Astyanax mexicanus: one gene and its partners. The protein of the gene in region 3 purifies or fractionates together with the protein of the main gene of each other region. This does not show direct contact. Links are inferred from orthologs where the notes say so. Each region holds a gene or a part of one and is shown on either strand. Other genes may lie near its edges.

Region 1 (7,351 bases), on a different chromosome or scaffold from region 3:
AGTAATCTCCAGAGAGAGAGTACACCTCCACGGTGCGCGCCTCACTCACCACCACAATACTGCTGATAACAGCCCCCGAATCAGGCTTACACAGCAGCGTGATGACACACGGTGACCCCTCCTCAGCACGCTCCAAACACACAGGTTCCCACCTACAACAGAAGTTCACAGAGTAACAATCTCCATCAGAAATATTCACTGAAGAGTCATATAGGATATTTATTTACTTATTCATTCATTTACTAGTAGCCCAATTTGAGCTACTTTTTACTCTTGTTTAAAAATATGTAGTCTTACTGTGCAGCAGGGCCGAGCTCATCCTCTACATCCTGCTGATCTCCCCCCTGGTGCTGCTGTTGGGGTTGCTGAGGTTCTGGTACAGTGGTGATGATGTCTGAGATCTGAGAGCTGGAGGAGCAGACCCACGAGGAGATTCCACACACTACAGCTCCTTTACTCACACTCATCCTGCACCTGAACAAACACATAATGCACACAACACACACTTAGTTTACTTATATGAACTTGTATTAATGTTTAAATAAAAGGGTGCACAGATTTAGGATTTTATCACTGATGTTAATATCCTCTTTTTGTATTTTGCAGTTAATGCGTTAAACTGTTAAATATGGTGGTGGTGGCATCATGGTGCTAGCGAGACTGGAAGACTGCAGAATGAGGACGTAATAATGTAGAAGGATGAGGACTATCTCAGATAGATCTTCAGGTAGATTTACAGATACTAATACATTTAAAAAAAAATTTAAAAGCATTAACATGTTTCAAAAGCAACAGTTTTTCTACCCCAGTCTAGAATACAAAATCGAATAAAGAATAAAGCTAAATATAGTAGGGATATAAAGCTACATCTGTAAAGTAAAAGACACAGTTGCATCCATCTGATAAGATGGCTAGAGAACTTAAAGCTATTATATGCTCCTAAACTGATTTTACTGATTTTCTACATTAAGGCAGCAAAATTATTACAATGCCTATATAAAACATAAATAAATAAACATACATATGAAACATATATAAAATAAATACACACACATGTATAAAATAAATATACATACATAAACATAAATAAAATCACAATGAACTTGAAGGGCTAAGGGTAGAAAACAGATGGGGGGGGGCTTACACACAAGCTAAAACATCTAGTTGACCTTTACAACCAACTAGAGCACATAAAAGAGAGAGAAACAAGATATCCAACACAATCAACCGCTAAAACAAACTAACTATAATTTGCAGTGCTGTTAAAGAGTGCAATTACTGACCTGACTTACTGTGTAAAACTGACAGCAAAATACAATACGATAAGTCCACAAAACTAGATAGAAATGTTCTACAATTTGTAGCTGTTAAATGTTAAAACTGTTTTGTCTTTTAAATCCATTTTTTCTCAGAATTAAAGATTTAAATCTATCCTCTCAAACCATTGCTTCATTTTTAAACTGCATTTTTAGTCATTAAAATAGACACATGGTCCAGAAAGCTAGCTAGAAGTGTTCTACAATTTAAGGCTTTTAAAATGTTACAGTTTTTTCAGAATTGTAAATAAGAATTAAGCTTATCCTATTAAACCATCACTCATTTTTAAATGTTGATAACAGCGGTCATATGATTTTTTAATGTTTTCTGAAAAAGTAAAAAAAAATTAGTTAAGCAATTATTTTAGGAAGGTGTCAAAATGAAAAAAAAGGAAAACAAAAGAAACAGAAAAAATATATTCATTTTAAATGAAACTGTAAAATTTTAAAACAATATCTATTTCATATTTATTGTTTTAATACTTTTCCAAGATGGCGGCTACTTTCAATGATTCAGTGTTTTCCCTAATTGGTGAGTAATGATATTTTTACTATAATATAAAGGTTAATAGATTGTAAATATTGCATAGATTTCTGTCAGTAAAATAGATGCGTCCAAAAAGCTAGCTGCAAATGCTCTACAATTTGTGGCTGTTAAATGTTAAGCTAATTGTTTTCGGTCTTTTCAATTAATATTCACAGAATGTTGCATTAAGACTGTTTTTGGTTGGTTCTACTTTTCAACTGTGTGATAAACTATTCTCTTAAACCATTGCTCATTTTTAAAGTCATAAGAACTGTCATATGTTTTTTTTTTTTGTGTTTCCTAAAAAAAACTTGGAACAAATGAGTTTAAGGAAGATTGTTATAGGAAGGTGTGGATATGAAAAAACACAAAATAAAAAAAAAACGAACACATTCATTTTAAATAAATTAATAAATACAAATCTTTAATTATCAGGTATAAAATCACTTTGTATACTACTGCTTTAAATGTGGATGATGTAGATCTACAGCTCATGCAGGGGATTGCAGGTGCGAAGCGGGAGATGATTTGGAGATCAGCGAAACCCACACAGCGGCGACACACACCGAGTAAAGTTACTGATCCAGCTAACCCAACACAGCTACAAAACAACTGAACAACAAACCAGCACAGCCTACATACTGTCATCCTGAAGCTCAGCAAACACCAGCCTTATGTAGGTTAGTTATTTCAGTTTTAAGTGATTAAAAATCAGATCAATACTTTAAATCGAGTGAATTCAGCAGTGCTTGAGTTAACCTGGTGTTACTGAGCTTAAATAAGAATCAAGCTAAGTGAACAGAACACAGAACAGCAGAACTGCGTGAAAACGATGACTTTACTATTATAATTAATACATATTGTCATATATTATTATATTAACACCAGTAATGATACTGAAGCTCCAGTGCTGAGCCTCTATGTGATGTTAACGTTAACTCTTAAGACTGAAGCTCTGATCTCTCCAGCGCCCTGCAGCAGGACACACTGAACTCCTGTAACTCTGTAACTGTGAGAGGAGTCTTTATACTTCTGCTCTACAGGCTTTAACTAGTAAATTAAAATAAATATAGACTAATGAAATCTCACTCTACTCACCGAGGTGCTGCTGCCTCTCACTCATCACACTGCGACTGACTCACCTACAGCCACAGGACCCGAGAGCCGGAGGACGCACCCAAGCGCCTGATTAAAATTCCCATAATAATAATAATAATAATAATAATAATAATAATAATAATAATAATAATAATAATAATAATAATAATAATAATAATAGACTTCCTGAAAAAAGATCGATTGTCAGTGCTATAGAATAATATACCTTACATAGTTTTTTCTAAAAAAAAAAAAAGAAAAAAAAAGAAAGAAACAGTTGTTGTTTTCTGGAATATGTACATTTCAATATTTTGTGATTATGAGGACTAAATAAACTGACTTTAGAAGAAAAAACACATTTACTTTATGTCAAATTACAGCTCTTTTAATGTAAAAGCCTAAAAAGAGCTGATGTATTAAGAACCTATCCACTTCTTTTTCCCCACTATATTTTACTGAACGCCTGCCAACCGCTAGAGGAAGCCCGCGAGTAAGACCAAAATGAATGGGGATGAATGGAGCTAAACAGCTAAAACTCATAAAAATAGTACTTAATCGCTTGTCCAGGATATTCCATTTAATTATGGAAAATAAAATTAAGTATTTCACAAAAAAACAACAACAAAGAAAACCGAACTGATTTTTTTTGTTTTTCTCCAGTAAAGGGCAGTAAAGACGCTAGGGTTACTGCTACTGTGAGCTAATTGGCTGGTTGGTAAGCTGATTTTGGAATTACAGTCAGAGCAATGGCATTAACCTGGAGTTAAAAAGCTTTAAAAATATGTATGTGGTGCTAAAACATTCGTTATTGTACTGTCTTGAGAAAATGAGCACATTGTTTAGTATGAAAGTTATTAAACATATATAAAACTTGATTTTGTTCATTTGCTCCATATGAACCGGCTTATTTTGGACTCAAACCTGGAAAGGATACTTAAGTGGGTATTCTCAACCTAAAACCAAAATTTGTTTTATGGAGAGCCTTTTTCCATATGATCATACAGGCAAACAAACAGAGACAAAGAAATGATCCAAAATGTAGACATACAGCTCTGTGAAAAAATAAGAGACCATTTAAAAATTGAATGCATTTCTTTAATTTTAAGAAATTTAAAACCTCTGCAATATAATCAAGAGGAAGACGGATGATCACAAGCCATCAAACCAAACAGAACTGCTTGAATGTTTGCACCAGGAGTGGCATAAAGTTATCCAAAAGTAGTGTGTAAGACTGGTGGAGGAGAACATGCCAAGATGCATGAAAACTGTGATTAAAAACCAGGGTTATTCGACCAAAAATTGATTTCTAAACTCAAACATTAAAACATTATGAATATGACCTTGTTTTGTTTGCATTATTTGAGGTCTGAAAGCTCTGCATATTGTTTGTTATTTCAACCATTTCTCATTTTCTGCAAATAAATGCTGTTAATGACAATATTTTATCGTTGGAATTTGGTGTTTGGACTTTGCCAAGCTACTTGAATTGCTGGGTCCCTAAGCAAGAACCCCAACCTTCCCTCATTTCCTCCTTTTTTCCAGAGCACTGCCAAGAAGGACATGCATGGATGGCTTAAAGGCAGAAGTCAAATTCCATCCAAGTTCTACACAAATGGAGATTGTCTTTGTCTTTAAAGATAGCAGATAGTGTGACAGTGAAAGTTTTTTTTATCCAGCAGTGCTCAGTAGAAGGTTTGTTAAGCTTGCAGCCCGTCCTGCCTGACCGGTCTGGATAATGGCATAAGTGTTGTGTGGTATTCTGAGCTGACAGCATCCCAACAACACCCATCCCACCTGTCCAGTTCCAGCCCTCCCACTTTACCTGAGCTCCCTTGTACAGCGCTCCACACCTGAGCTCACCTGCAGGACTGATACACACGGTATCAAATACACACCTACGGCTCACGTTTGTCTGGATAAACAGCTTTGGAAGCCTGTGTCATGCTCACATAATGGAGAGAGAGAGGAGCAGGAGAGCCGGGCTGTTCTTTCTGTCCCTCACAGTTGGATTATTTTACACAGCAGAGAGTAAAGGTAAGTAAGGCCTGACAGATAGTCTGGGCTCTGGCTGAGGGTCCAATTTGAGTCTGGAGGTGGAATTAAGACTAGAAGAATTTTTTTAAAGAATAGAAAAATAGAGGCTTAAGTAAAACCTAAGAACAGATCAGGTTGTGGAGGGTTCAAAACCAGAGAGCAATGAAACCGTTTCAAATGGCTGTTCAAGGCTCATATTACAGTATTTTCAGTGTTGGGATGTTGTTGTTCTTAGTGATAGTGCACAACCAAATGAGCAAATGAGCAAAAGCTAAAAATAGCTGACTGGTTTGCTCAGTTTTGTGAATCCTATTCGACTCCTGTATCCTATTTTTTGTCCTTGTTTCCTCCATTCGTGATGTTTGTATGAATTGATGGGTCAAAAACAGACAGCATGTTTTTATCTGACCATGTTTCATCCTCTCCTTACATTGAAATGTTTTATTTTAGTCACTGTCAGTTTAAGACATGATTATATATACACAGTAGATATAAAACCATACATGACCTTATTCTGTTTTGCCCTTTGCCCTCTGTTGATTTTATTTCAAGATCATGGCACTCTTCCAAACGTATATGATTGAATGGGATGAGTAGGTTTGGTTTGGCTGAACTGTAGAAGACTGTATAATATGCGAAAGTGCAAAGAAAATATTTTATTGACTTTACATAAATAGAAATTATGAGAAAGACTGGTTTTGGAGCTTAGTTTTTTCATTCTTGGACTGTATAGACTGAACATTGATCAGGTGGATTTGAAAATATATCTTAAAATTATAATCTCAATTTCAAAAAACGTTGTGACAAATGTAAAATACAGGCATGTATAAAGTTGTAGAGACTCAGACTTAAGTACAAGCTCTATCAAAAAACTAAAGTGGCTAAAGTGGAAGTTGAAGTGTTCTTTAAGCACCAGACTTTAGTGGAATTACTTAAGTGTTCAACATTCTTTGTACTTAATATGGCAAGTAGTTTATTGTAAAATTTAGTACTGACTAACTGAAAGTAAAAGTACAGTACTGTGTCCTGTTGTTATTACAGAAAACAGTGGAAAGTTCTCAGAGTGAAAGGCAATATGGCAGGGAGGTATTTTTATAAGATTAGCTTGATCTCTTGATTCCCGCAATGATAAGGAGCTTTATCAAACCCAGTGACTGTACAGAGCATCTACCGCTCTGATACCGCAGTGCTCATGTGGCTTTGGAATGATTCCTAACATTTTTATTATTGTTACGAGTAAAGATGTAGCACATTAAAAATATAATGTGTAAAGAAAATTATAAGTAATTGCACCGAGCATGTGGAAGAATCATTTTCATTCCTTTCAGAGTGGTGCATTCAGTCAGAAACTTTTCTACTTTGTTTGGTTTACTATGAGTGAATGAGCTGCTGAGCTCTGAGGTTCCTCTTCTAAAGTGTCCATTGCTCCACCAGCAGCTCGCATTCAGTAAAACTGAGCCGGATCCTCTTTTAGAGGCTGTACATCTTTACGTTTATCTTTATCTTTACATAAGTACGTAAGGATGTGTGACATGACCAGGAAAACTCCCACGTAACTTCCAGTACACTGGTACCATTAAAAACAATATTTGATCCCTTCTCCACTCAGAAATGCCTCTGCTTTCAGTTTAGAAACAAAAAGTAAGGACTGCCACTTTAAGTCATCTCATAATATCTATTGAAGTAAAAGTAGAAGTAGGAGAAAAAAATTGTTCACCAGTAGATATAGATACAGCATCTTAGTACTTAATTACAGTAGTGAAGTAGTTCGCACTTCATTACTATACATCTCTTGTAAAACATATTGTGAACGTAAATAAGAACAGAATAAAATAATTAGCAAAACTCATTAACCCATATTTTATTCTCAGTAGAACATAGAAACACCGTAGTATCAATATAAGCTGTGCACGTCCAGACAATAGAATAAAGTTTGTATCTCTTGTGTAGTAAGTATAAAAACACATACAGTACAGGCCAAAAGTTTGGACACACCTTCTCTTTTTCAATACGTTTTCTTTATTTTCATGACTATTTACATTGTAGACTCTCACTGAAGGCGTCAAAACTATGAATGAACACATGTGGAGTTTTATGTACTTAACAAAAAATGGTGAAATAACTGAAAACATGGTGGTCACCTGAAATGGTTTTCCAACAGTCTTGAAAAGTTCACAGAGGTGTTTAGCACTTGTTGGACCCTTTGCCTTCACTCTGCGGTCCAGCTCCCCAATCAAGGTTGGGTTCAGTTCCGGTGACTGTGGAGGCCAGGTCATTTTTTGTTAAGTATAAAACTCTACATGTGTTCATTCATAGTTTGATGTCTTTAGTGAAAATCTACAATGTAAATAGTCATGAAAATAAAGAAAACGCATTG
Region 2 (7,168 bases), on a different chromosome or scaffold from region 3:
AAACAGATAAATCCATCACTGGTCTGTTAAAAGGTAATAAGCCAAATAAAGAAAAAAATAGTCTGTCACAATGTGGCAATTAATTTTATAAGCTCTGTATGAATTTAAAAGCTAATTCTTTGTTTTTAGTTTTACCTGCTCTCTTGTATTTCTTTCTCTCTCTATATTAAGCTTCTGTTTACATACCCGAATAGTGAGGCCAGTGACCTCTGCGTTGCTGGGCACCGGTGGCAGGTCCAGCCGGATGTCTAGATCTGCTGTTCTGAAGTGCTGCAGGGCTCCAAACAAGGACAGCCTGGTGTCCCTCTCAAATCTCTCCTCCACCTCCACTCTCCTGCCCAGGCCTGGAAGACCGGTTCCAGGTAGAGCATCCATTAGGCTTAGGGTCCTACACATACCCCCAAATGCCCCCCACTCCTCCTCACACACCAGAGCCCACGCCCTGCTCTCCAGTTTCTGCATCTCCTGACTGAGATAACCCCCCAGCGGTGGTCTGCGGAGCACCGGCCGGTCCCGCCGCATGTAGTCTCTGCTGAAGGATAGTGCTGGAGGAGGAACTGAACCGGCTAACTGCACCAGGAACTCCAGGACTGAGTCCACCTCGGACAGGCCAGACGAGAGGGCCACTTCACGGAGCTGCGCCAGGAGGCCCTCAAGCCTCTCCGCTTCCTCAGTGTGGCCAGAGACACGCAGGTCGAAAGAGATCATCAGCATCTTGTTGTAGGCGGGAGTGCTGGCCAAAGCGTTTGCTGTCAGGCTGGATTTGGAAGAGCCATCCTGGAAGAGTTTGGACAGCAGTGCCCCGTAGGCTCTTTTACGGAGGGTGCGGCGGAACGCCTCCCTCGAGACGCTGCCCATAGAGTGGCGCTTCCATGATACTCCAGACAGGCTGCAATCACACAGTGCCCCTAGGAGCTCTGTAATGCTGCTGCTGGAACAAGTGGACATTTCAGTAGAACTCTGGCAGCAGTACATGGTGAGGTACTGGCACTAAGATCAGTGGATCATCTGCCCTGCAAGAGAAAACACAAGCACAGATACATTATGATTACAAGCCTCAATTTAAAAAAAAAAATCTTTGCATATTTTACTGGCTAGTTCTACTTTGCCTATGTCAAAATAAGTACATACATTTTGGTTAGCAGGAATGACAACTGCTAAAAGTGTTTTGTTTAATGTTGGCTTATTCTTTATGCACTTCCTTTTGAATACAGTTTGTTTAAAATTGTCTTCAGCTAGAGTTCATAGATTAATTGTTAAATATATTATTATAAGTATTGAGATAGTGTATTGCAATACAGTAGCAATTTTCAAAAACAGTATTGATTCTTAGGGTGTTTTGACACCTTAAAGTCTGGAACGGTTCATCAAGGTTTTGGTTTCACACTGCAGTTTGGCGAGCAGACTAAAAAACTACATCCTGTTGTTATCAGCTATGTGAACATGAGTCTCTCTACGCTTAATATTATTTGGTTTGTAGAACATTATGTAAATTATGAGTTTGACAAGCAAATTGAGTGTAAAAGACTATATTATCCTCAGATTTCTTTTATTCCTGATTATAAATAAGGGATAATCTACTGTTACAGTAAATAAATTAATTGCCAGTCTAAGCATTCTTGTCTATAATGCTGCATGATGTACCTGCACACCAGGCAGGGTCGGATTTTGGCACACACACGATTCTTTTTTCGTTTGTTTTGTTTAAAGATGGCCTCAACTACCTGCAATTGGTCAGAAAGTCAGAACTATCTAGAAACATGTTTTCACACTGGAGGTGAACCGGACCATGGTTCAGAAGATCTGGACGGAGAACACCTCTGGTTGTTTGTTCCAGACTGTGGCTTGCTGCCTTTTTCACACCTGCTACTTTGGTCCAAAGTGAATGCTTGAAAGTCCAGACCAAAAAAGAAAAGTGTGAAAGAACCCTGCATTATTAGTTTACAGGTAAATATTGTACCATGTTCTTTTCAATACACCCCCTGATAAGAATATGGTTGAACAGAACTGAAGACTTATGCAGATGAGTCATGATCGATAAGGACTGGTATTGAAGTATTGGACTATATGCTTATATATAGATATGTGTGTGGTGGTTGGGTGGGTGTGATAATATAATACTGACAAATACTGTCATTTTGTATATGAAAACAATAAATATTTTATTACTAAACATGCAAACAATGGCACTGTTATATATTTTTTAAATCATGTCTTTCCCAGAGCTTTATTCTACATTCATAACTTTACTTTATTCACATGTTGTATGAGCATCACTTGATAAGGTTATAACTATTAAAGCATGGATAATGGCATAATAATATTGGCAATATTTTAAATAAATATACATTAATTCAAGATAATGCTACAAATATTTTGTTTACAGAGCCAAAATAGATGAAACACAGCCACAGACAGTGTAGTTTATATAACATACATACTCTGCCTCTATTAGTGAATATAAAGAATACATCAGGAATGAGGGAGGTTATTAAACATTTGCTTATAGCTAGTTAACTATATTTCTCCAAGATTTAACAAGATGAACAACCGTTAACTAGCTAGCCAACCTAACCTAGTGATGTTAGCGGGTCACTTGGCCTCTCAGAAGAGCTGGTTTATAGAGTGTTATAATTCAGCTGTATGTGTGAGTGAGTGTGTTATGGTGTTATTATTGTTATATAGTTCTCCGGCTCTGTCTGAGTGAAGCAGGTTCTGTTCAGATTGTTAAACGCGGAGGTTTATCTACTCTGAGCTCCAGCAGTAGGAGGACATTGGCGGCTCTGCTCTCGGTTCTCACCCGGGCTCTCCGCGCTTCCTCTGGGCAGCAGCTGCAGGTCTGTCGCTCCAGTCCGGCTCACAGCGGCTCCATGAGCCCCGACCGCGGAGCTGCAGCGGCGGCAGGTCTCAGTACAGCCCGCCGCTACAGCAGAAAAGCTCCAGAACCGCGTCTCTACTCTCATTCACACTGTAAACACCACTACTGCTGTTATTTCCTGTCATTTCCACTCAGCGACCGCGCGACTTTTCAAAGCCCCTCCCTCCCTGGGGCATGATTGGGTGAAATTCTCTGTGTTGAGCTGCGATTGGATAAGACAGTTAAGCTGGTAGTGAACACTTCCGGTTTAAAAGCGCGCCAACTTGCGGATGATTCAGGAATTACCAGTAACTCTCTGCACTGCTAAACCAGCACTGCTAATAACTCTGAAAATACTGTTACTGCAGGTTAGTCAGTAGCATCCAAAAGTCAGAGCATTAATGCCAAAGACTAAACGTTCCTAAACATAGATATTTTAATCAATGTTATCATTATTTATTTCTTCTATTTACAGTGTGGCTTGTTTGTGAAACCTTTAGCAAATTCTGTATTTCTTACCGATAAATTCAAAACTTCCATAGATTTCCTACGAAGTCCTAAAAGTAGAACAAATTAGTATACATGCTCATTTAATTTTTGAGGAAAATGATCCAGTGTTACATATATTTATGTAATATATATTTTTATGTAACAAACAAAAGTTAAATCATTTTCCTCCTTTTCAGCTGGGTTGATGTAGAATTTAGATTATCTATCTGCCCGAGCCCGAGCCGAACCTAATTATATTAAAGTAGAGGAAAGTCATTGTAAATTATGTTATTGTTCTTGGTCTATTTCGGTGTAATGATTGTGCAGTGCGTAGCCTTATTGCTTTTTTGAATTTCGCACTTTGGGCCCGTTCACACGAAGCTGGATATTGGTTTCTCTCTCTGTTTTGGCCTTCCGTCCACACAAAAACGGCGACTTCAGTCACTGAAAACGGAGCACTTAAAGACGCCTTTCAAGGCGGAGCCTTGTGGACAGGGAAAACTGAGCTTTCTGAAAACTCTGATGTCACACAGCGCATGTTGCCTTTTGTTTAGCATTAGCTTAGAGATTGGGAGGGGACTATTTTCTGTGCAACAACAGCGAACTCCGGCCGTATTTTTACAGCATATTTTCTCATATTTTTCTCTGACCCAACAGCGCGGAATTACCCAGTAAATTACCAAAAAGTAAATTTGTTTAGAAAGTATTTAAAATTCTTAAACCATGTTAAAATATATTAGATTAAAGGGAAATCATTCAGACATCATCCTTGTAGCCCAATTTACCAATGTTTAGGCCTGTGGATCATTTTTCAGTTTTAATCTTTCGAAGATCGGTTCTTAACAAACATTTTTCTTAAATAATAGGTCTATGATTCTTCAGTGTTGAAATTAAATAATTAAATAACATTATGAACAGATTTCGCTTATTAAAACAGCCTTATGTGCTTGGGCACATAATAACAGTTTATGGGGTGGGTCAGGTTGTGCTCGGGCAGAATGGGCTCGGGCCAGGTAGGGCTGGATTTTTTTGGACCTGATCTAAGCTCTAGTTTGATCGCTATTGTGAAACTATATGTGCAGCAATAACTACTAACTAAATATTTGTGTTTCCTTTGAAGAGTTTTTCGTCCATTTCCTTAACCAATTAATTGCTTACTTTAGGTCATCTTTTTATTGGATTAAGGTCAGGATGTTGACCATTCCAAAACATGAGCTGTATTCTTCTGTTTTCATTCTTTGTATGAACGATTTGTGTGCTTTGCAGACATCCCAAGTTGCAAAAAAATTATTTCTGAGAGGTACCACACTAAAAACTGAATGACCTGTTCTCTGCAAGAGAACATCAGAGAGCCGTTATTGATATGCGGTTGACTCCTGCGACTTAAGACCTCTGGCTTTGGGTCATTGTCTTGTTGCAGGACCCGCATTCGCTTAAGATTTAGCTCAGAAACAGATATCCTTTCAAGATGTATTAAATTCATAAGTTACAAACCACCCTAGATTAGATGAACCCACGATTTTTACAGCTTGCAATAAAAAAAAAGGAAATGGCAAAGAAGCTGAAAAGTCTGGGCACTCTACACGATCGTTTAGTTACACTCTGTTTGGCAAGTAACATAGCATTTAGACATTTTTGGAGGCAGCATGATTTTTATTTATTGCTTGGGGGATTTTAGCTATTTTGAGATCTTGTTGCACTGCTCTATCCATAGATTTTTGAAGATATTAAGGTTAGGGTTAAAGTGTTGACAATGTGTTATCCTTGATAACTGGATAAAGCTCCTTATATAAAACCTAAACACATATTGGTTAGCACTGGAGACAACTGAAGCTAGCAAATATCGTAAACTAAAGTTACTGAATAATCAGTTAATTCCTTGACTTTCAAGCATTTCAATATATGTGTTTATAATTCACTCCAAGATTCACTAAAGAAAAACTCAAACTGTTCTATTTTTTTCTTTTTCTCTCCAAATTACAAGTTTTTATTTGGGTATAATGGTTTAGCTAGATTAGCTTCTCTGCCAGCATGACTCACATGCTGTGATAGAGACAGAGAAATACACTGACATGCCAAATGTCATAGAATAACAGCAGTATGCAAACTGATCATGAAATATAACCTCAGTGCACGGCTTGGCAAGAGCCACACCTATATATGCTGTGAGGTGCTATCTTATGTATTAAGTTGAATATTTACCAGTGTGCTCATGGAGTGTGCTCATTATTGGAGGTGGAGCGAGGTCTGATAGTGGGTGCAAAAGGGGTGGGACATTTCATTTATGAAGATGTGAAGACATTTAACGTTCTTTAATCCACAGTGTTGTGTATACCGCTCGCAATACATCATAGAAGGCCAACCACAGTGAACAGTGCATTTAGTAGTAATGAATCACTGGCTAGAACTATCCGTATGAACTGACAAGTAAAATCCACAGTAGAACACACATTTCCTGGGATATAGCAAAAGTCAATGGACAGAATACTAATACCTGATGTGGCATATCAATGTATATGTGAAGAGAAAGAGAGATGGAGGTAAATGGGACTGTTAGAGTGAAGCTAGTTTCTGTAAAATTTGGCTTCAAACACAATCGCACACCGATGAGAGGCACTGGCGTGTTGCTAACACACACCCACAGCATCTGTTTGTGGTCAACCAATGCAATATTAATCATGACAACTGTCAAGTTGCTTTTTCTGGTTTTCTAGTTTAATTAAGGTCTGTGTTGCTCCTTGTGGAGATGTGTGTACATGTGCGTATATATTTGCAGTGTGTGTGTGCTCCTTGTAAGGAATATAAGTAAAAAAAGACCCAGGCTCATTAGTCTGTGTGAAGTATGAGGCTGAAGATTAATGTCATAGCTGTATTGCAAAAAAAAAAAAAAAAAACTTTTTTTGGCAGTTTTATTTTTCACACCATGTCAATATGTCACAATGAATGGACCAACAGAAATGCTCCAAAATGAGCTGGAATATTTTTTTTTAATTGAAGTTCAGTTAGTCTTCTTCCTTCTCCTGTATAGTTGCCATTTTTTTAGCATAACAGCAAAGATTTCTTTAAATGGTCTTGCATTTGTTTTGGTGTAGATTTGTTCCTTTGGTTAAATTGAGCCCTCATGTCCTGCAGAGGGGACCTCTCTTGCTCATGCTTTCTGTAGTGTTTAACCCTTTAATGGACTTGGTGTGTAGTGAAACATGATAATGAATACAAACTTTTGTTTTAAATAGCCCATCTCTGTTCATGCATTCCAAAATACAGCGCTTTTAGCAGATGCTCCCAACAGGTTTCCAATGCTAGAGATAGGGGCATTGTCCATGCAAAGAAATGGCTATTTTTACACCATTTATAAGCTCAAAGTAGCTCCAAAATGTATTTGTATAATTCTGAGGACCCTAACATTTAGAACGAGGCAGTGAGAACTTTGAAAGTGCACAGATTTATTAAAACAGGTTATTAAAAAACACAGTTTATACACACAGTACCTTGAGGTAGTTCCTCCTTCAGACATCACCATCTTGAAATTAAGTCACGATAAGTCGATAAGCCATGGAACTTTATGAATTCCAATTTTTGCTGAAAATATTTCTACATTATTAACCTATATGTTTGGACTCGTCAATGACGTAATTTTAAGATGGGCACTTATTAAAGTTCTCAGTGCCTCGTTTTAAATGTCAGGATCCTCAGAATGTTCCCAAGAAAGCTAAAGCTAAATATTATGCCCCAATCTCTAGTATTGAAAGCCTGTTGGGAGCATCGGCTAAAAGCGCTGTATTTCAGAATGTTGGGGTGAACAAAGTTTGGCTATTCGACAAA
Region 3 (6,913 bases):
GTTTTTTTTTTTTTGTTTGTTTGTTTGTTTGTTTTTTTTTCCCGCATTTGGTAACTGTTTTTTAGTCTTAAAGTAAGAAGCCCACATGCAACTGTCATTATATATATAAAAACAAAACATACAAAGTGAGTTACCTTGAGGCTACGGTGCAATCTCTTTGTCTTTAAGTCCCAGATGTTAACGGTATTGTCTAGGCCACCACTGACCAGAAACTGTGATGTGGAATTTAGAGCAACCCGTGTCTGCTTTTTCTGAAAGCAAAATCCCAAATACAACACATATGAGTACTAAGACATACTTTAAGTGCTTATTACCTTTTGCAGTGTGTCTACTGACCCCTTCAGCAAGCTCCATTACAGGGACTGGTGAAGACTTCAGGCTAGTCACCACCAGCTTGTCTCCTATACTGCTGGCACTGACAATGTACTGATCTGACTGGTGTCAAGGTACAACACAAATTAGTGTAATTATTCTACAGAATCATTTTTTTAAATCAGGCATGTCCCTGAGTCTCAGAAAAATAAACTGACAATGATTAACAACTGAGTTAATATACTGGGTCAATCTTTTAAATATCAAGTAAAGCACCTCTAATTTCATATGAGATAAACTGCAGTGTTGTTCATGATCCAGAATTAATCATGAAACTAATGCTTTTTTTAAATACGTACAGATTGTTACCTGATCAAAAGAGAAACAGACCTCTTAATAAAACCCTTGATTTCAGAGAAAACATAAAGACAGCTGTGAAGGATACTGCTGCTGCTCCAGCATACTTGGGCCAGAGGGTGGGTGGCACTGTGGGGATTGAACTGCTCCACTACAGTCATAGAGGCTGAGTCCCATATCTTCAGGCAGTCACCTGATGACACCAACCGGGTCAGCTCCTCCATAGCAAACCTCTCTAAAGGAGAAGGAAAAAAAAGCAACAGCTGTTAGACGCATTCCAAACACAGAGCTCTGAGCTCAAATGACCTATAGTGAATTAAATGTTTCCCCTGAATGGTTTGGAATAATTTGTAACATAAGACAGCTCACACAGGCCTTGTTGCTGAGTAAGCCAAACTCAAATAGACTGCCTTACTTCATTTGATGAATCTACCCTTTGTTTTTGTGATCCACATTAAAAACAAAAAGTGAATCTAGCAGCTGATGTCAAAATTTCATGACGAAAAAAAGAATCAAATTTTTTTTTTAAAGTGATTCTATTAAAAGATTGAAACTTTTTGCAGTCTCCTGAATAATAATCAATCAGAGATATAAGATATATGCCTGAAAGTGACATAATATAAGCACACTGTACAATCTAAACATTTGTAAAGTAACAAAGAAAATATTAAAAGAAACAATTTGATCAGTAAAAATAGAAAACTATTTTGTTGAGAAGTACTCAACAAAGTAAAAAGTAATATGATATGATAAATATAGGTCAGTCAAGCTCCCAAAAAATCTTTGAACTTTGAAAATATACTCAATGCTGTAAGAGCCCACATAAATGCTTCACAGAGAATTTTGGTCTGGTTAACATTTTTAAGTTTACTGTATGATTCCTTATGAGTTTCTTTATAGTCTAGATGACTTTAGTGTTAATTTTAAATGTAGGGAAAAAAACAACATCAAACCAAAGGTTTGACTGGTACTACATATACAATGCTGGAAAAAAATGAGAGACTGCTTAAAAAGGATGAGTTTCTTTGACATTTCCAAATTGAAAACTTCTGGAATATAATCAAGAGGAAGATGGATGATCACAAGCCATCAAACCAAGCTGAACTGCTTATATTTTTGCACTAGGAGTGGCATAAAGACTGGTGATGCATGAAAACTGTGATTAAAAAATATTCCACCAAATATTGATTTCTGAACTCTAAAAACTTTATGAATAGGAACTTGTTTTCTTTGCAATATTTGAGGAATATTTGCATCTTTTTTGTTATTTCACCCTCATTTTCTGCAAATAAATGCTCTAAATGACAATATTTTTATTAAAAAAATGGGAGAAATGTTGTCTGTAGTTTGTAGAATAAAACAAACATTGTTTATTTTACTCAAACATATATCTATAAATAGCAAAATCAGACAAAATGATTCAGAAACTAAAGTGTCTTCATTTTTTCCAGAGCTGTATTTTTTTCCCATGTGAAATCATAAACCTTAAGGCTAATGTTTATTTTAATTTTAGTTGCTGTACTTGAAATTAGTGTTAAGGGTTAGACATGTCACCGATTTTGCACAAAGTTTAAATGTGCTTTTGGGACCTGTTGAGATTTCATCAGTTTTGGGGATCAAATTAATTCCATGTTGACAGGCTGGAGAAGGTTTTAGATAAAGCGGTTGAGGTTTCTGTATTTTTTATAATTCAACTGTGCTTATAAATAATTAATAATTTAACTCCCAACCTTCTTAATTTTGCAGTATTTGTGCTTGTGTGTGTTTATTATGGTTAGAATAAAGAGTTTATTACAAGTTCCTCAGGGTCCCAAACATTTCTACACCACTGTTTCAATAACAATCAGATGTCTAGCTAATCTAACGCTAACTAATTTGGTGAGCTAACTTAGCTTAGCTAGGTTAGCTAACTAGTTATTTAGATACGGATACGTTACAACCGAGACATACACCTCAAGAAAGATCTGTATTGTATCATAGAACGTTACATAAATAGCCAAACCAAAATCCCCCTGATTCAGACTTTCTACAGAACTGTAGGGCTAGCTGAGGTTATACCCAGTCCGACACTGTTTTGCTAGCCTGCAGAAGTAACGTTAAGTTGTCATCTCTGAGGAGTTTCTGTGTATAAAGCTTCTGTTCAGTTCTTACCGTGAATTTATAGATAAAGCACTTTTCCCCGAGTCCAGTTATCCCTGTTTAATCAGCAGTTTCTCCTCCGGCGCTCAGTATTATAATAATTCCCACTTTTTCCGAATATCTCAAAGTGTTTGAAAGTCTGCAGACTGACGAGGGAACCGCCACTACGGCACGCCAGCAGGGTCAAAGCTAGGGATGGGCACTCCGACTCGGAGTCGGATGAAGAGTCGACTCTTTAGACTCTTCATTCATTCTGCAGCATTGCCCGTTTTACAGCAAGTCATTTCATTTTGGATACAACCAGATAGTTCTATACTAATAAAAAATAAAATATATAAAATATTTACTGCCATTGCTTTTCCATGTATTACTTTTTTATAATTTATATTAATTTATAGCCTAACCGTTTGTATTTTTTAGTTTTTTTTCTTGTTTTAACTTGCTTTAATGCTTTATTTTACAGTTTTCCCAAATTATGTTAATATATTTTAATGACAATGATATCTTAAATGCTTAATTTTCTTTTCTTATAAAACATCATGCAAATCATTCAGAGCTGCTTTTCTGTATAAAAAGTGCTATCCAAATACTACTACTACTAATTATTAATATTATTATTATTAAATTAAATAATTATTATAATTATTATTATTATTATTATTATTATTATTATTAATAATAATAATAATAATAATAATAATAATAATAGTGTTACACTTTAATTCTTTATTTAATGTATTTCCTACATTGTAGATTAATATTAAAGACATGACCACAGGGGACATATATAGGACACGTATGGAAAGTAGTAAACAAAAATACATCAAAGCAAAATGTGGCTATTTGGAAGTATAAAACATACTGGTTTGTTTAACACTTTAATGTCTTCAATATTACATTTACAATGTAACAATGAATGAAAAGAAGTCTGTCAAAACTTTTGTCTGGTACTGTAGATTTTGACATGATTACCTGTGTATTGAAACAATGGGGCACTATATAAACTTGAAGAAATCCACTAGAAATATAAAACCAGAAAAGTGCATTGCACAGGAAATACAGAGTAGTTGATCATATATTATTGATCAGATAAGTGATTCACACCTCTATGCAGTTGTTTGGCTGTTGCTTTGTAATCACTAGTGTGAAACTGTGTTTGCTAGGTGGTTGACATGGTATCACAGATAGTTGCTAAGTGATTTCTAGATGGTTGATAGTCTTGGTAGGGGTGGCTAATGTTATGTAACATGTTTACCAGGCAGTTGATATGGTATATTAGTTGGTTGCTGTGGTGTATCAGGTGGTTGCAGAGGTGTTGCCAGCTGTGGCTGTGGTGCCTCATGTGGTTGGTTGTGCATAACTAGTGTATTTGTATCAAGACAAAGAAGGGTGCACAAACATTTGCACATAATTTATTCAAATTGAGGGGAAAAAAACGTTAAAATGTTTTGTGTTTAGATATTTTATTCTTATTCCTAAATCACATAGTGAACCCTGACTCCGTAATCAGGCACAATAATTACCAGCATGGCTATATAATAAAAAACAGCAGTATCACATTTTCATATTTTTATATGATAAAACACAGCACATTTGTGCGCTGTTTATTTGCATATATTTTAAATTGAACATGAAAATTTGTATATGATACAAAATGATACAGGCTTTGAATCCTATATATGGCTACTGTATACCATTATTTAAACCACCAGTTTGCTTTTGATGCTGCTTATAAAACAAATGTCCTATAGTTTCTCCAGTGTTCAACATACACATCAGAGAAGATCAAGGCTGGATACATTGCATAGTGGTAAAAGAAGCTTATTCTTTGCATAAAAAGTGCTGATCACATTTTTTCAAACATCAGGGACTTCAAGAGTTCATAATATGCCTTAATGCACCTTAATGAGCTTCTGTCATTGGGGCAGAGGTACAAGTACTTTGACGTAGCTGATGGGAAAAAAGCCTGACTCTCCACTGAGCAGGCCTTCATACCAGTTCTCATCAATCTGGTTGGTGAGAATAATGAAATCTCCCTCCTTGAAGCCCAACTCTCCTTGATTTTCTGGTTTAAAGTTGTAAATTGCACGACAGCAAGGCTGGTCCAGGTGGAAATCATTGCCATCTGCAAAAAGAAAATATCCATGTTATGTTAAAACGACAGTTTCTTTCAGTGTTGAAGATTAAAAGTGGGATTAATATACAAATCTAATCTGATTTTTTTATTTATAATTTTCTCCCCAATTTGCACAGCCAATTACTCAACCCACTCATTAGGACTTACCCTATCACTAGTGATGCCCTTGTGTTATAATCGTGAGTCTTTCAGTTGTTGAGACTTTCAGACTAAATGATTGATCAGCGACACAGGGTCACAAATTACACAATTTCTCATCGTGGGAAATCGCAGACTCACCTGGCTGCTCTCCAGAAACACGTTTCGACACGAGAACATACCTGAACTAAACGCACACGAGAACTAGCAATGCCATGCCAGAGAATCTCTATAGAGGAAAATGCGCATTCGCAATGAGTCCAACATGAACGGGTTCATATGAAGCAACTAATCAGTTATATATTGAAATATGTACTTATGTCCTCAACACAGAATTATGTCAAATGTTTCAGTTCTGCAGATTATTTTTTTATAGTTTTGAACTCCAGTTATAAGCCTTTTAAACATGTTTATCTGTATCTCCAGGATCAGCTCGCCAACCAATCAACTTACAGTAACAGTAATGTTAGTCTTTAAAAATGTAAAATATGATTTATTTAGATAAACTGAAATATACAGGCATGCTCTCTTTTTTTTTAGTAAAATGTATTATTATACTTTCTAAAATTAAAGAATTATTCAGAACAAGTAATTCATAATTATTTTTAATTTAAAGTTTTTAGCTTTTAGCTCCATTCACCCAATTTATAGAGGAGTCACTCACTCACCCTCTAGAGTCATTTACTGATATAACAGGGGGAATGGTAGGGTGGTCAGACACTCCATAAACAGCTCTGGTGTGTTTTGGACTCGTGGTCCTTTTTCTGTGATCTCATTGGCTGTATGTAGATGCTGCTCCTGACGTCTAGTCGCCGACTGAGTCAGATATTAAACACGAATAGGTCAGTCATTGAATATTTGCCGGGTTTCTGCAACTCATCAGCGATCAGTCATCCGACACTGATTGTCTTTTAGTAGATCACACTACGTGACAGTGTGAGCGCAGAGTGATCCCCGATTTCCCCCCGAGCAAAGTTTTTGTCGGCAATTTTGTCGGGAAAACTGTTGGCGACTAAAAACTGCCCCTAAAATCGTGTAGTGTGAATCTGGCCTTACTCACTTTTATAGGCTGGATGTTCTGAGATTTGGGGTTTAACGGGCGTCTGGTTGAGTGTGTGAACCACTGGAGTGACATCTAGTGGTAAAGGATAAAATGCATATTAGCAAGAAGTAATAAAGTCAATTAAAAGTCAACCTGAAAGCCAAACTTTTACCTTTCTGTCAATAGCTTTGGTAATAATAAGCACAATTCATGAAATTATTAAAGAGACAAAATTCTCGTTTTCACATGATCCTGAACATCTCCTGATGTCTGATCCAATTCACCCGGGGGTGGGGCCAAGCAAACATAAAATAATACAAAATGTTAAGATTCACCTCTTTCTCCCACAACCCCAACCTATTCTCAGCAGGAGAAAATGCTTAGTTAGCTCAGATATCCCCCTGGTACTGCTCTATTCTTGGAAACATGTCACAAGAAAGTGTCTTTCAGAGTCCTATAATTTAATATTATGCAATCTCTAACATTTTAATAAATAGATCAGGGGCTTCATTAACTGCATTAGGTGTATATCTGGACTAGCTTGGAGATTGTTGACTGTTACATTAAATTGCATGTTAAAATATGGCTTAGTTAAAAGAGTATGTGTCAGAAAAGGAAACTACCACTAGCTACCACAAGCAGGTGGTCAAACCCCCTTCTGTGTCTGCAAAAGACCTGCAGCAAGACTTGGTTGCAGCAGGCACTTTGGTTTCAGTTTTATCAGTAAGGCACCTATTAAAAGTCTTCAAGATGTAAATCGCTAACTTACCCAACAGCAAAAGAAGAGT
Region 4 (8,016 bases), on a different chromosome or scaffold from region 3:
GTCTTACAATATTGTAATCAGTCAGTGGGCCTATATACAGGGCTACAGGTAGTCACTGCGCTGTTTGACGACATGAGCTGTCTCAGGAGATTAGAAGGAAAAGTAAAAACAAGCATGTTAAAGGTAAAGGGTTTAAGACCATCTCCAAGCAGCTAGAAGTTCCAGTGACTACAGTTACTTATATTATTCAGAAATTTAAGATCCATGGGACTGTAGCCAACCTCCCTGGACATGGCGGCAGGAGGATAATTGATGACAACTGATGACAGATAATACGAATGGTAATAAAAGAGTCAAGAAAAAACAGTAAAGAGATTAAAGGTGAACTTTAAGCTCAGGAAACAGTCAGTGTCAGATCGGGAAACAACCAAGGAGACGTCATTGCTGAAAACAAAACATAAAAAAAGCCAGACTGGAATTTGCCACACTACATGTTGACAAGCCAAAAAGCTTCTAGGGGAATGTCATATGGACTGAAAAATGGAAGACAGACAGAATACAGACAGAAAAATGTAGCATATGAAGAAAAGAACACTGTCCCTACTGTGAAACATGGTGGAGGCTGCTTTACTGCATCTGGCACAGGGTGCCTTGAATCTGTGCAGGGTACAATGAAATCTTAAGACTATTAAAGGATTCTAGAGAGAAATGTGTTGCTCAGAAAGCTTGGTCTCAGTCGCAGGTCATGGGCCTTGCAACCAGATATTAGCCCAAAACACAGCTTAAAAACACCAAAGAATGGCTAAGAGGAAAACATTCGACTATTCTGAAGTGGCTTTCTATTAACCCTGACCTAAACTGAGCATCTTTGAAAGAAGCTGAAACAGGCTGTCTAGAAAAAACACCCTTCAAACCTGAGAAAACTGAAGCAGTTTGTTCATGAAATACCTGCTGAGAGGTGCAGAAGTCTTAGGAATCAATTGATTGCAGTGATTGCCTTAAATGGTTGTGCAAGCAAATATTAAGTTAAAGGTATTATAATTTCTGTCCAGCCTGTTTTATGAGCTTATTTGTTTTTAAATAAATCTGTTGAAGCATGGTTGCAAACAATGTCTGACCTTCGTTTGTTCATTTTCATAACATTTTAATTATTATTACTTCTATCAGATTCAAATTTTCTGTGACCATTGTGTGTTTTTCTTTTATTAACTGAGGGTACCAACAATTTTGTCCATGTCTGTACATATGGAGAGCAAACAGCCATGCTTCTTTATCTTAGGAGCTACAATTTAAACTTTGTAAGAAAACACTTCGTTTTCTATCACAGGCGATGATAGTGACTCACGGCACACCATCTTAATGAAGCAGAGGAGTGTACTCAGTGTCAGACTCCTGCTCAACAGACAGACTGGGTCAGTCACCCACAGGTATGGATGATCAGGGGCGGATTTGGAAGTTCTGGGGCCACAAGCAATGTTTTTTTTCCGGGGGCCCTGATCAAATGGATTCTTTTGTATAGCAAAATGCAATATTGACTCTGACGACCTAGCTGTCTCTGGTGCCTCATCCTCACCAGACGATTCTTTTCTTGCTGCTGTGAAAAAAATTGGTGAGCTTTGTTAAGCTTTCTGTGCTGGACTTCCTTTGCTTAATTTTCTTTCTTTTTTTGGGCACCAATGGGATAAGACCAATTTATGGTTGTGCCGAAGCTACCTTAGTCTACCTCGCCTAGCTAAACTTGCATGTACAAAAAATATATATATATTTTTTTCGTTTTTGCTTTGCGTGTTGGTAAAATCCACCCGTGTTAAGTATATGCACCTATGGGTACATGCACATGATTAATATACATTTTGTTACATGTATATTAGCACACCTAGTAACTTTATTCCAAATACAGTGTCATCTGCAACTTCCACTTTTGCTGTATGGATTATTTATTGGCTGATTGATTTACTGCACTGTTCTACCAAAGTTTTATATATCTATACTTCCTGTGTGTTTATGACTGTACAATGTGTTGTTTAAGCTACTGGATGCCCTAATTTCCTTTGGGATCAATTTAATGATCTATCTTTCTACACATATATTACTAAAATGACTAATACTGTAGTGTTTTGAGAAACACCGCCAAACATAAATCCAAAAGATGTAGTAATGTGAATGTAAGTGAATGAATAGTACCAACACACTACTGAACTTAATGCAGGATTTAACACAGTACTGAAACTTAGTACTGGAACTATTATGCACTCGTTTTACTTTCTGAGCCTTTAGCTTTATACCTCTATAGTTGCATTACTGTTATATGGGTTCTGTTTACAACAGTACGATAATTCCCTCTTTAATCCCCCATCACTGTTGCACTATTGTCTCTTGTCTCACGTATGTCTATATATGTGACCTTGTTATATTGTGCATTTAGTATCTCTCATTCTTTTATGATTCATATTTGTATATGAATATATTTGCTTTACTTGTTGTAACTTTGGGAAGGAGAGTATGTACCTGTACATATGCAGTATTGACAATAAAACTACTTGACTTGACTTTAAGTGCAGTGTATAGAAGAAGTCAGTGTGGCCTGGTCTGTGCACTATAAACAGCAGACAACAGTGCAACAATTACTGTTATTACCAATATTTCATAGTTTTTAGTGATTATATCTGAATAACTAGTTGAATATGATCAATAATTATATTCAGTATGATGAATGAATGAGATGATCGATCTCTTCTACACTAAGGGTTTCCACACAGCTGTGAATTAGGACACAAATATCACACTGGACTAAATTAATATTTATCTACAGCAGCTTACTATAGAGTAATATTTAATAACACAGAGTACTGGTTAACGGGTAAGTTATCTCATGCACATCTCGTTACCTGTAATCCATTCCTCTTATTCCATGTAAAAACAGTGCCGGGATATCCACTTAAAGCGAGCAGAAGCTCGTGGATCATGGTTACAGGTGATTATTAATATTTACAGTAATAACCGGTTACTCCACTGCATCCATTAACTTAAACCAGCGCGAGCTAAAGCAGCTAACACCAACACCGCCAAAACAGCCTCCCGGCGCCGGGAAATGTAGTCCTTCTGCCCAACGCAGCTAGGGAAATGTAGTCATTTAGCTCATCATAACTAGGGAATTGTAGTATTTTAGCTCAACGTAGCTAGGAGTTCGTCCCTTTTTGCTTTTGCAAAAACACATATTTAATAATAACCCGTTTTTAATGTTAGATCAAAGCAGGTTATGCTGCGTTTGAGCAGTGCTGCAAATAGGAAAGAACTATTAGTAAAAAAAATGAAATTGCACTGGAACAACGAGTTGTATTTACAAGTGGGAAGCTCGAAATTAGATTTTTTTTAATTCTTATTTTATTCTTATTATTCTTATATGTTGTGCAGAAATAATTAATTTTACGACAGTACAACACTTACATAGAAATAAAAACTCGAAAGGCTTCCTCATTTTCTTTACAGATTTTTTTTTTTTGGCAGAAATGCAATCTATATTTAAAAGAATACATTTTTGCAAAATATCTTAGGATCTATTCTATTTTGTATGTTTTTTTTATTTAAAATGGTCAAATATGCATTAAATATGAGGTCAAAGTTATAATTAGAATTCATAAAAGATAAACATTTAAAACATTAAAAACAAAGTTTTTTATAAATACGGGAAATGTAGTCCTTTGGCTCAAGCGAAACATGGGAAATGTAGTCCTGTAGCTCCAGGTTTCCTTAATATTGTTTTGGCTGGTACTTAATCCTCACCTGTTATGTGGACTCGACGAAAAGAGGCTCTCTAAAGGTTCTGGTTTTACCTTCTGCTTTTCCGGACTCGGATAACCTACTGCTGCTGGTTTTACTCTCAGCTCAGCGCTGTATATAATATAGTAATCACAGGCGCCTCTAATCACACACACTGGCGAACAGATAGCCTAGCCTGCCGCTGCTAACGCGCTGTACTGAGAATAAAGGGGACCAGCAGCTGCTGATGTGGTATTATGGGCTGTAATTAATATATGTGTATAGTTTACTGTATTTATCTGTCTGGGCGCTTATTTAGCTTCGCTGTGTTTTTACAGTTTTTACAGCTGGACAGATGGAGGCAGATGGTTAAAGATGGTTAAAGCGGTTTAAACTGTAGGGAACTCAGTTAGCTAACTAAAATAAACTAATCTATCTGTCTGTAATCTGGACCTGAATAACTGTGTGTGGGGGGGGGGGGGGAGTGGGGGGGAGACAGTCATATAGGTAACGTTATTAATCACAGCTGGTTTAATGGGAGCAACAGGAAGCTGAGCTTCATGTTTACAGATTACTTTACCCGGCTGTTCTGTCAGCAGTGCTGAGTGAATTACACGGACAGTTTTACCTGGATATTACAGATAATGTACAGATACACTGCAGAAACAGATTCCAGTATCTTTGTTTATTATAGCTTTAATGTCTTCGCATTTTTAAAACATGACTTTTCTTTTAAATAAGTTAAAAATGGATCTACAGTAAATCCAGTTCTTGCTGAACTTTCTTTTACCCCTTGTGTTAACATGACTGAGTCAATATATCAGCTTTGTTTAAACTGTGTTTTTATCAGTATTCACATCCCAATGTATGAATATTTGCCTGTTAACTATTCTTTACAAGAGACGAGATGGATTATCTTATATTATTTTATTAATGACATAATTTGTCTCTAAAACTGTCAATAGTATTGTTTATCTCAATAATTATCTCAAACAATTGATCATCCAAAATATATCAGATTAGAGGTGTGCTGTATTGCATTGAACAAAATAATATCGCCAACATTTTTGAATATCGTGAACTATATAAGACCCTGAAATATGGTGCCATATCACCCACCCATAAATATCACATCAGGGTACTAGTTTATTACTATTTTTAAGACAGAAAATATCACACTGTTCTCATTTTCAATTGTATATATACTAGACAAAGATTACATCTGTCCAGTATCATTTATTTTACTTTAATCCTGGATATATGGAGATATATGGAGTGTATTATTAGTATCATCACATTCTGGATCATTGATTTCTGTTACAAACCTGATAAAATTTGTGTATTATTTAATATCTCAGTTAGGGGTGTTCTATGTAATATCATATGCAATAATAAAATGTTATTTTCTTTTTGTTGCAGTAATGTATTTTTGAATTTTTATTTTAATATCAATGTTTTGTCATATCGGCAAAAGTATCGTTATAGCAAAAATACCAACAGGTCAAAACACAGTTTAGAACTAATTGATGGAATGATTGGTGTTTTCCTTTATGCTTCATTCGTTTTTTTTATGTTATGATTAGTGGTGTTACACGATTAAAAAAAATATTCTGTTTAAGCATGATGAATTTCGCCTTTTCTTTTTTTAAAGACTATTTTTTAAATAGTTAATTAAATGTAAACAAAAGAAGCATTTATAGATTTGCAAAATAAAATTATACTTATGTAAGTGGTGTTATTAAAAACAAAATCTGTATTGATCAAAACAGTAATTAATTATAAGAATTAATTGCTGGTAGCTCTATATTCCACATGTAACAACCTGGAAAGAGGAAATGGGCTTTTGAGAAAGAGAGAAGGACTGGCTGTGTTTGTGTGTATATAGTTGTGGGTGTGAGAGAAAGAGTAGATAAAAAAAATAATAATAATAAGTTGACAGTCATTTTGTGCTTTAACTAAAGTATTCTTTACCCACTTTTTTAGGGATGGCAGAAGGGAATGGAGATGTTTCTGAGTTCCTTAGTCAAAACCCGCACCTGGCACAATGGGTGGAGTCTTTAAAAGAGCACAATGAGACCAGTAAGCAGTGGCTCGCCAGGCGTGAATTTGTCCTTCGCAACTTGGAGACGTTTCCAAACCTCCAGCCGGGCACCATGAGCCCTAGCCTCGATAAACTCCTCTCTCTGTCCAAGGTTTGGGCCAACTCTGTGTTCCTAGGCTGTCGGTAAGCATTCTGTCCTTGTATGCAATCTTTATAGAAACACAAAGGGAGGGGGTTAATGAACTCACTCATACAGTTTACACTCAACTTGGTCTCCATAAGGGACAAAACACAACAGATTACATATTTACTCACTAAATACCAGAACATTTTGTATGTAAATGTCTTCTAGACAATTTGAGGTAATTTATAATCCCTCATTCAGCTGTTTCTATCATTTTGAAATGATGAAGAAAGGTAGGATTAGCAGCTGTACCTACAAGAAGCAGAAATAGATAACATGGCACAGATAGCAGATCACAGGGATCACGATTCAATACATCACAATATATTGCCGCACTCTAAACAAAGTGACATTGTGATTAAATGATTAGATTAAATCAAATATAAGGAAAAAATCATATAGAATGAAAACATTGTTATTATAAAATAAAACATGAATAAGAATAGTTAATTTTTCATTCAATCAGATCCGGTTTAAATTAACTACTGTGTGACACCAAACTTTACACCTAAACCACTTATTAATATTCAAGTCTGTGTTTTTGAAAGTAATCGCAAACAATATAGTGTGAAATGGTATTGATATTTTCTTACACCCTTATTATCTGCTAAAGTGCATTAGCTACACAGTGCTGTTGTTTTAAACATGTGCTTTTGTTGTAGATACCCCCAGCCTGTGGTGAACAAGGTGAATGAGATGGCAGAGGGGATCACTGTGAACGAAGCTGATGTTTGTGTTCACAAGACGAGAGGTGAAATCGTAGGGAAGGGGAAAAGACCTTTAACTTCAGGTGAGACAGACAGTGTGGCCTGTATACAGTCATGGGACCGCACTGTGCAAACTAATCGTAAAAAGGGGACGGCTTAAGGATGCCTACACCTTTATACCGTATTTTTTGGACCATAAGGCGCATTGGATCATAAGGCACACTAAGCGACCCTAGTAGGGATGCCTACATCAAAGTGAGCAAGGGTGCATGTTTCCCTTCTAATGGGGAAGCTGGGGAAGCGCAGTTAACAAAACCGCCTTAAAAAAAAAAATAAGAAAAATGTTACCCTGAATACCTTATATTTGGGTGAGTAAAGTGCTTTTGTTCATTTGCAGTAAGCTTAGATTTCCAATATTTTGTGTAAGGATGAGTTTTCAGTGAAGATTCTCCAGCACTAAGGCTGAGTGCAGCAGCATTAGCATTGGCAGCTAACCGCAGCGCTAGAACCCTGAGTGTTCCGGTAACCCATGATGCTATTAGCTTGCGGTTCATCTCACATAGCTTGTTTTAACACGGCAAACACACAGAATACAGTCCAATATACTCACCTCTGAACGGTAAAAGAGCTAGTGCTGAGGTTAGCGGTTAATGCTAATGCTTATAGTGCTGCACTTCAGTGGAGTGGCTTTACTGCTCCTTAATACCTGACTGGTAAAATTTATACATAAAGCACACTGCCAATTTTTGGGAAAATGAAAGGATTTTAATTTAAATAAATACAGTATGTTTTTTGTTGTTTGTGTGTGTGTGTGTGTGTGGGGGGGGGGGTGTTAATCATGGTGAGCAATGGCCAAAAATACTGTTATCGTGATATCATATTATTTCCTTTTTGCTACATAATCAATATGTGGTGTCAAACATGAATATTTTTATTGAAACTAAACACCCACTTCATTAATCCACATGGTGGCGCTTAAGTCCACTGAATAAGGTAAACCTTCAGTGAAGAATATTGGTTGTTAAGCTCTGTGAATCTGACACTAATAAATCCATAATTCCTGATATTTGCTTATTTAGGAGTATTTTATCCTCTTCAATAATACACTTTGTCCCACCTGAGTCTGTAGGCACACCAGTAGTGTGTGTGTGTGTGTGTGTGTGTGTGTGTGTGTGTGTGTGTGTGTGAGAGAGAGAGAGAGAGAGAGAGAGAGAGAGAGATTGTGTCCTGTATTGCTGCCCTCAGGGATTAAAGCTGAGTTTTGGTTATTATACTGGCTGGCTTTGTGTTACTGGTATTGCTGTGTATTATAAATGTGATGCGCTTCAGTGTGTTATTATCATACATGGATATTTGCATGAATTGGATCATTTGAATGCGATGAT

The links.
Region 1: the proteins of nedd1 (region 3) and c15h10orf88 purify together in Homo sapiens (co-immunoprecipitation; 3 studies listed by BioGRID and IntAct, counting the BioPlex papers as one, with this or other methods). This does not show direct contact. The link is inferred for Astyanax mexicanus from reciprocal best matches to the Homo sapiens genes NEDD1 and C10orf88.
Region 2: the proteins of nedd1 (region 3) and tubgcp6 purify together in Homo sapiens (affinity purification with mass spectrometry; 3 studies listed by BioGRID and IntAct, with this or other methods). This does not show direct contact. The link is inferred for Astyanax mexicanus from reciprocal best matches to the Homo sapiens genes NEDD1 and TUBGCP6.
Region 4: the proteins of nedd1 (region 3) and tubgcp4 purify together in Homo sapiens (affinity purification with mass spectrometry; 3 studies listed by BioGRID and IntAct, with this or other methods). This does not show direct contact. The link is inferred for Astyanax mexicanus from reciprocal best matches to the Homo sapiens genes NEDD1 and TUBGCP4.

The regions. Positions count from the first base shown.
Region 1 is NC_064422.1:21,124,862-21,132,212, forward strand, and holds the start of c15h10orf88 (ATPase PAAT), read right to left. Parts: upstream 3,010-7,351; 5' UTR 2,941-3,009; intron 475-2,940; 5' UTR 468-474; coding exon 298-467; intron 153-297; coding exon 1-152. Other genes in the region: zgc:174164 (disintegrin and metalloproteinase domain-containing protein 9), read left to right, coding at 4,893-4,974. UniProt on the Homo sapiens protein: ATPase that regulates mitochondrial ABC transporters ABCB7, ABCB8/MITOSUR and ABCB10. Regulates mitochondrial ferric concentration and heme biosynthesis and plays a role in the maintenance of mitochondrial homeostasis and cell survival.
Region 2 is NC_064409.1:46,359,648-46,366,815, forward strand, and holds the start of tubgcp6 (gamma-tubulin complex component 6), read right to left. Parts: upstream 3,008-7,168; 5' UTR 2,801-3,007; intron 1,014-2,800; 5' UTR 976-1,013; coding exon 187-975; intron 1-186. UniProt on the Homo sapiens protein: Component of the gamma-tubulin ring complex (gTuRC) which mediates microtubule nucleation.
Region 3 is NC_064417.1:36,561,895-36,568,807, forward strand, and holds the start of nedd1 (protein NEDD1), read right to left. Parts: upstream 3,003-6,913; 5' UTR 2,821-3,002; intron 905-2,820; 5' UTR 894-904; coding exon 758-893; intron 432-757; coding exon 337-431; intron 252-336; coding exon 135-251; intron 1-134. Other genes in the region: sh3gl3b (endophilin-A3b), read right to left, coding at 4,725-4,933, 6,144-6,218. UniProt on the Homo sapiens protein: Required for mitosis progression. Promotes the nucleation of microtubules from the spindle.
Region 4 is NC_064430.1:32,433,662-32,441,677, forward strand, and holds the start of tubgcp4 (gamma-tubulin complex component 4), read right to left. Parts: upstream 3,019-8,016; 5' UTR 2,907-3,018; coding exon 2,829-2,906; intron 1-2,828. Other genes in the region: CDKN2A-interacting protein, read left to right, coding at 5,685-5,923, 6,587-6,714. UniProt on the Homo sapiens protein: Component of the gamma-tubulin ring complex (gTuRC) which mediates microtubule nucleation.